2 linked regions of the Rattus norvegicus genome follow. The protein of the gene in region 2 binds, or shares a complex with, the protein of the main gene of each other region. Links are inferred from orthologs where the notes say so. Each region holds a gene or a part of one and is shown on either strand. Other genes may lie near its edges.

Region 1 (3,915 bases), on a different chromosome or scaffold from region 2:
GTCTTCTTTGTTGATGGTGAACAAGCAAGCGTTGGGCACCTTGGTGTCCTTGTTAATGGTGATTCTGGAAAGAGACAGAGGCAACAGCTCAAGCCCACATCCAGCCTTGGGATACTGGCCCTGAGCATCACAATGTCCCCATTTGTGCTCAGACATTCTTGAACCTGCAGTTGGGCTGTTCCCACTACCTCAGAAATTAAGGTACCTGGCCCTTCCCAACGTATGCGCTGACGAACAGTTCCCTTAAACTAGCTCTTGACTAAGTTCTTACTAAGAAGACAAGAACCAGCTGGCAGTGGTGGTGCCCACCTTTGATCCCAGCGTCTAGGAGGCAGAGGCAGGTGGGTCTCTGAGTCAGAGGCCAGCCTGGTCTACAGAGTGAGTTCCAGGACAGCCAGGGCTACACAGAGAACCCTGACTTGGGGGCAGGGGGTGTCAGGAGACACTTAACCCCTAACAATCAAGGCAGGCCCACATCCATCATTCTGCAAGTCCAAGCTCCACTAGACCCAGTGCTACTGGGAATTGAACCTTGGGTTTTGAGCATGATAGGCAGAGCCCTCAACCACTGAGCTATAGGTCTAGCTCTTGGAAGCCGTTTTCAGTCTGCTCACCCATTAAGGACCCTGCAAGAGCTCTGGCATGGTTCAATAGCCGACCATTTTCCTCCCATGTATAAGCCTCTGGGTCTCTCAGCTCTACCATTCCCAACATTCAAACAAAGTTGGCCTGCCTGGTAGATAAGACCAGTAATCCAGCAACCTGGGAGGCTAAGGCAGGAGGATAAAGAAAAACCTCAGCCGTCGTCCTGGCTTTTCTCTTTGCTTAGGCTAGGGTCTCATTTGCCATGGGGATAAACCATGCTAGCTGACCCTCCTGTAACCACTTCCCATGTCCTTGGAGGAACACTGGAAGCAGAACTCAGCAGTTTTTTTTTTTTGTTTGTTTTTTGTTTGGTTCTTTTTTTCGGAGCTGGGGACCGAACCCAGGGCCTTGCGCTTCCTAGGTAAGCGCTCTACCACTGAGCTAAATCCCCAACCCCGAACTCAGCAGTTTTTATACGACTTCTGGGGATCTACACACAAGTCCTCAGTAAATGTTTTACCCACTGAGCCATCTCCCGAACCGATCAAAAACTGTAAAATGGGGTTGGGGGTAGGGGGTGGAGCTGGAATATAGCTTAGCATAGAGCACCAACCTAGCATGGGGCAGACCCTATGTTCAATCCCCAAATGACAAAAGCAAACAAGAAAACACATCTGCCCTGTGCTGGCCTCCTATCTATACACCAGGGAGCAGTTACTTAAGCAGGTTTTGTTTTTGTTGGTTTTTTTTTTTTTGAGACGGCATTTCTCTGTGTGGCTCTGACTGTCCTGTAACTTTGATCTGTAGACCAGGCTGGCCTCGATCCTCTTGCCTCTGTCTCCCAAGTACTGGGATTAAAAGTGGGTTAAAATTCACCACTCAGGGGTTGGGGATTTAGCTCAGCGGTAGAGCACTTGCCTAGCAAGCGCAAGGTCCTGGGTTCGGTCCCCAGCTCCGAAAAAAAGAAAAAAAAAATTCACCACTCAGCTAAGGATTACTGCTTTTTTCTAAAGCAGAATTTTTCAAACTCAGTACACAAATATTTCTTTCCTTTGTCCACGCTCCTATAAGAGGACAGCCTGTGATCGTCAGCTCTCTCCTTGTACCATAGTGGTCCCAGGGTCATCAGGTCATCAGGTTTGCCTGTGGGCGCTGTACCCTAGCCATCCTGCCAGCCCGGGTCACAGGCATTTTGGACCCAATCCTCCTTTTCTGAGAGGCTGTCTACTACATCTAGGGTCGCTAACAGCATCTGTTGCCTCTACCCGCCGGCTGCCAATAGCAACCCACTCAGGACAACCAGAACCGCTTCCAGACATGGCCAAATGCTCATGCCGATGGGATAACAACAGGGCTCTCAGCTCTCAAGAAGGCTGAAGTAGCTATCAAATGTAAAACAAAAACCCCTGCATAGAAATCTCTTAGGGGGCAGGAGAGATGGCTCAGTGGTTAAGAGCACTGACTGCTCTTCCATGGGTCCTGAGTTCAATTCCCAGCAACCACAGGGTGGCTCACAATCATCTGTAATGGGATCTGTGCCCTCTTCTGGTGTGTCTGAAGAGAGCAACAGTGTACTCAGATAAAATAATTTAAAAAAAAAAAGTCTTTAGGGAATACAAAGTGTCAGTTACAGGTCTGCAGTGTACACTGTACACTGTTCAGACAAACTCGGAAAATCTCCTTGGGGAGTTTCATTATTTATTGATTGGCTGATACAGACATGAGGAGTGTAAGGAACTGTGTCTTTGTCCTTTCACAGCTGCCATCATGAGCCAAGTGTCTGGAGCAAGTCAATGTCCCAAAGCCTCAGTTTCCCACTGCAAAAAATGCATGCATTCGCAAATGCTTCGCACCACTGCCTGAAGTTGGGCAGACACGCACTGAGCAGAACAGAATGCTCAAAGCAAAGCCCGCCTCGGTTTCCCCAGGCAGGAGCAACTCGGCGCTTTGCTGAAGCTGACGGCCGGCAGGCTCCTATACAACCGTCCCCGCCTCAGCCGGTCTCCACTTACTTCTTCTCGCCCTCGAAGAGCAAGAACGACTCGAAGGCCGGAGGGGCGTTCATCCTAGCAAGGCGCTCTCACTCCCAGACACCAACCCGCAGCCGCCTTCCGCCCACAGAACCCCGGAGCGCGACCACTTCCGGGTTACTCAGCCTCAGCCTCAGCCATTCAGAGTAAGCACCTGGCCCTGCGCCCCCTGGCGGGCCGGATGACCTTACGCAGGCGCGGGCAAGGCCCAGGAGACTGCGAGCTGTGGGCATGCGTCAGTCTAGAAGCCCTGTCTGAGTGTCTTGGCGCATACTCCAGCGCCGGGACTTATACCACTTGTTACTGTCTCCGTTTCACCGACTGAATGGGAATAGGAGTCCCAGTGGCTGCCGCTGCAGGACCCCCGGGTGGGCCGACACTAGCGTCCTTATGAAGCCTTCTAGATGAGGACCAGGGGAACAGGAAGGTGTGTAAAGGTTGGGGAGGAGTTTGAGGATGCCAGTGCATCCTCTCTTGAGCACACAGATAAACTAAAAACACGATGAAAGCTTTGCACCTCGCCATTTTTCAGCAGTCTCTGTGGCAGTCTTTTTTATTTTTCCTGTTTTTAAAGATTTTTATTTGCATGTCTGTGTGGGCACGTATATGTAGGTCTAGCCTTTGGAGACCATAAGAGAGTGGGGTCCACTGGAGCATGAGTTACAGGTGGTTGTGAGCCCCACCACCACCAAGTGGGTGCTGGGAATCGAACTCCAGTCCCCTGCAGAAACAGTAAGGCTCTTAACTGCCGAGCCATTTCTCCAGCCTTCGTGATGGTTCATCTTGAAATTTAGAATTACCGCGGAAACAAACCTCTAGGAGGGGCCAGCAAGACAGTCCAGTGAGCAAGGGAGAGTGTGACCAAGCCTGATTACCTAAATTCAGTCCTCAGGACCCACGAGGTGGAAGTTGGGAACAGACTCCTCCAACCTCCCTTCAAGGCATGCACTTGAACACGTATGCACTCACAATGCATAATAATAATCGTAGTCATAATAATAACAACGAAAAAATAAAAAATAATAACAACGAACTTTTGGTTATGTCTTTGAGATTTTAGACAGGTTTGGCTGAGGAAGGCATCATTAATGTGTGTGGCATCACCCGAGAGGCTAAGGTGTCAGACTACAGCTTCCTGGCTGCAGACACAATCAGCTGCTATGAATCCTGTTGCTATGACATCTGCATTGTGATGAGCTGTACCTTTCCGTAAGATGCTTCTGTCCGTTTGTTGTCGCTGTCTTGGTTTTGTTGGTTTTTCGAGACAAGTGTTTCTGTGCAGCACTGGCTGTCCTGAAAC
Region 2 (3,815 bases):
TTGATAAAATAAGGTTAAACTTCATTTGTGGTGTAAGACAGAAGCTTTAACTCAGATTTAAATGACGAGGGGAAAGACAAGACAAAACAGAGGTAGAAAGGAAAATAATTGAGGATATTAAAGCCTTGGTGTATGCCACTCATACATAGGGGTGTGTGACAAATATACTCTTTGAACAGAAATGTCTATGTTAGGGAAAAAAACGATAAAACCATTTAGAACATACACTTCCTGTCTCCACAGCTCCAGAGCACTCCACTAACCTTTACATAAGCAATCACTCTCTATTCCCTCTTGTGTCCTGGCAACCACCAATCCGCGTTATGACTTCATAAATGTGCCTGTTCTGTATACATAAATAAAGCAATACAATTTGTGGGTGTCTGTGCTGTGCTTGGGTGTTCGTGTATGCTCATGTAGCAGCACGCACAGCACTTCATGCTTCCTTACAGTCCGGTCAAATGCTGTCCTGTTGTCTGGATAGGCCACTTTTTCTTTGCCATTCACTAGTTATTGACAGACATTCAGGATGTCTGTATTGTTTGGAAAGTGACAAGAGTATTGCTGTAAGCACTCATGTACATGGTTTTGTCTGAACTCCTGTTTTCAATTCTTTCCTATGTTCATTTGCAAGTGAAACTTAGCAGCACATGGCTAACTCTGCTTAATTCTGTGTTCAAAGCCCTGTTTTCTGTGAAAGCTGTTTTGGTTCTTATTCACACTGGAAATACACAAGGGTTCCGATTTTTCCTAATCCTCATCATCATCAATAAACTTTCTTTTTAAAAAGAAATACAGCAGTGTGGGTTGGAGAAATGGCTGAGCAATTAAGAGTACTAGCTGCTTTTCCAGAGAGCCTGGGTTCAATTCCAGCACCCACATGGCAGCTCACAACGATTTCTAACTTTAATCCCAGGGATCTGACACCCTGTCTTCTGCCTCTATAGGCAATGAATACACATGATACATGGAAATACATGCAGACAAAACCACCAGACACATAATTTTTTTTAATGATAGTTTTCCTAGTAGGTATGACGACCTCCCAATTGTGGTTTAGATTTCCATTTCCCTAATGACTAAAAATGCTTAAGAAAAGAAAACCACATCTGTTATTATAGTTCCTGAGGCTCAAAAGTATAAGCATAGCATAATATAGAAAATTTCCCTATTCAGTCTCACATAGGTTAAAATTTATGGCATCACAAGATACCATATTGTCACCTAAACCTTTGAGTCTTTTCCAAGCTCATTCAGGTGGGCTGGCAGAACTGAATTGCTTACAGTTGTAAGACTGAAACTTTCATAGATGCTCTTGAGCTGAGGGATAGGTCGTTCAATGGTAAATACAACAACAAGAAGCAAATACCCAGATGCTATCCATGGTTGTCACAAGCCTTTAACCCCATCACCCGGGAGGCAGAGACAGGAAGATCTACATACCCAGTTCTAGGACAGCCAGTGCTATATAGTAAGAACCTGCCTCAAGGGGCTGGGGATTTAGCTCAGTGGTAGAGCGCTTACCTAGGAAGCACAAGGCCCTGGGTTCGGTCCCCAGCTCCGGAAAAAAAAAAGAACCAAAAAAAAAAAAAAAAAAAAAAAAAAAGAACCTGCCTCAAAAAAACAAACAACAAAAACAAAAAGCAAAACACATCCCACCCCGCCCCAATTTAGCCAGGCACAGACAGTGGGACACACCTTTGATTCTAGAACATAGGAGGCACTGAGCTCCAGGCCAGCCAGGGCTACTTAATGAGACCCTGTCTTTAAAACAATTAAAAAAAAAAAAAATTTAGCTCAGTGGTAGAGCACTTGCCTAGGAAGCGCAAGGCCCTGGGTTCGGTCCCCAGCTCCGAAAAAAAGAACCCAAAAAAAAAAAAAAAAAAAAAAAAAAAATCACAGAAGAGATTATGTCATGTTTCTAAAAAAATTACAAATTCTTTCATAAGGATACTATCAACATGAGAACTGGTGAGAAGATTGAGAGAAAAGAAATTACAAACGCATTCATAAACACTGATCTAAAACTTCTGTCCATGTGGGTCCGGCAGTTAGAGAGGATAATACATAATGACCAAGCTGTGCCATAATGAAAACTCAATACTGGTTTACAAAGTAGGACCACTCAATAAAATTCATAAATAGCAGGCTATAAATGTGATACTGTGACTAAGAGTTGCAGAAAGGCATTTAATAATAAAATACATTTCCTAGTAATTAAAAAAAAAAGCAAAGTACTTGGTTAATTACAAAAGCAATCAACTCACTTAGCCCCAAAAGACATGTACAAGGAAATGAAAAAAACCACGATGACAACAACAATAACAAACAATAGACCATTATAAAAAAAACTTCTATATAAAAAACAAAAGCGTCAACAAACACATTATTATAAACACATCAGGCTGGCTCAACGATGAGTTTTAAAAATTCTATACATGTCTATTACACAAGCAATCTGAAGAAATACCATGTAAATGTCACTTAAGGAAGGACTAAAACTGTGGGAAACGGTTGGAAATAATGCTACCTGCCATTTCAACATAGTAAAAAATAAATAACAGTAAACACACGGAAGCAACTGAAGCTTCTAAGTACTCACAGAAGTTCAAACTAAAACCAAACCGAGAGACTGGTTTTCAGACTGGAAAATTTTTAACAGTCTGCTCTATCATGAAGTGATAACACACTGATGTTTACGAATTACAGACAAAATGGCAAGATAGACTCATACAGTTAGGTTGGCAAGTTCATGTCCATAAAGAGAAATGCAGGAGCTCCAGAACACAAGCCACCAAAATAATCAATAGATCCAAAAACGGATAATCGAATTATAGTACAATCAACAGTGCAAGCACCCACCTCTCTCTCCCTCTGAAAAAATAGTGTATAATTTGTCTGCTTAGCACCAAATACAATAGTGAATGGTGAGCGCCTTTTCTTTTCAAGGCTTTTGTAGAAACTTACTTCTTCCACCTGCCCATCTTCGGCTCCATCTTTCTCTTTATCTTCCTCTTCATCATCATCATAGTCTTCTTCTTCGTCTTCATCTTCCTCAGAAGATGTGTCCCCTGTTCCGTCAACTTGCAGCACCAATGGAGCCTGCTGCTGAGCAGGCTGGGCCTGTGGCTGCTGCTGTCCAGCTGCAGGGATCTGTGCTTGTGCTGGTGTGGGCGCTGCCACTGTCGTAGGAATGACCTGAGTCTTATTCCCTGTAAATAAGATTTGCTGTGGCTGGATGATGACACCGGTCTGTGGTGAAATCCCTCCAGGAAGTGGGGCTAGGACCTAGGGCAAACAAAACCACCTATTACAAACTGGTTACAGGGATCCAAAATCAAAATCAAACTAATAATAATTTAAACATGAGAAATGTGCTTGAAGGCATATCATCTTAACTCAGAATAAGGTTGTTCTTGACTGCTGTACACCTATTAACCTGTCCAGGAAAAGAGCGGGGAAGCACACAAAGTCATACAGCAGAGGCAGAAGCCAAAGAAAATGAATATCAAGGGGATGGTAGGTAAAACTGCATTACCTGCTGGATAACAGGCGCTTGTACTCCACCAGGCTGCATTTGTGGTATAACTTGTTGTTGTAGAACAACTGACTGCTGAGGCTGAAAGATATATTGGGCACCATTGGCTGCTCTGACTACCTGAAGCAGCTGGCCTATGGCAAAAAAGAATATAGTCCAAGTTACTAGTTAAGCAGCAATTAAAACACAAAGAAATTTATATTGCTTTCAAGCCAAAGAACCTACCAAGTTAGAAGAGTAAGCATTTTACAGAGGACTATCAACTATACGCCTTACA

Evidence for each region.
Region 1: Gtf2a1 (region 2) and Polr2j share a complex: the UniProt entries of both Homo sapiens proteins name them as parts of the TBP-based Pol II pre-initiation complex. The link is inferred for Rattus norvegicus from reciprocal best matches to the Homo sapiens genes GTF2A1 and POLR2J.

Annotation. Positions count from the first base shown.
Region 1 is NC_086030.1:26,182,500-26,186,414, forward strand, and holds the start of Polr2j (DNA-directed RNA polymerase II subunit RPB11-a), read right to left. Parts: upstream 2,703-3,915; 5' UTR 2,651-2,702; coding exon 2,598-2,650; intron 65-2,597; coding exon 1-64. UniProt on the Homo sapiens protein: Core component of RNA polymerase II (Pol II), a DNA-dependent RNA polymerase which synthesizes mRNA precursors and many functional non-coding RNAs using the four ribonucleoside triphosphates as substrates.
Region 2 is NC_086024.1:116,228,198-116,232,012, forward strand, and holds part of Gtf2a1 (transcription initiation factor IIA subunit 1), read right to left. Parts: intron 3,673-3,815; coding exon 3,539-3,672; intron 3,289-3,538; coding exon 2,968-3,288; intron 1-2,967. UniProt on the Homo sapiens protein: TFIIA is a component of the transcription machinery of RNA polymerase II and plays an important role in transcriptional activation. TFIIA in a complex with TBP mediates transcriptional activity.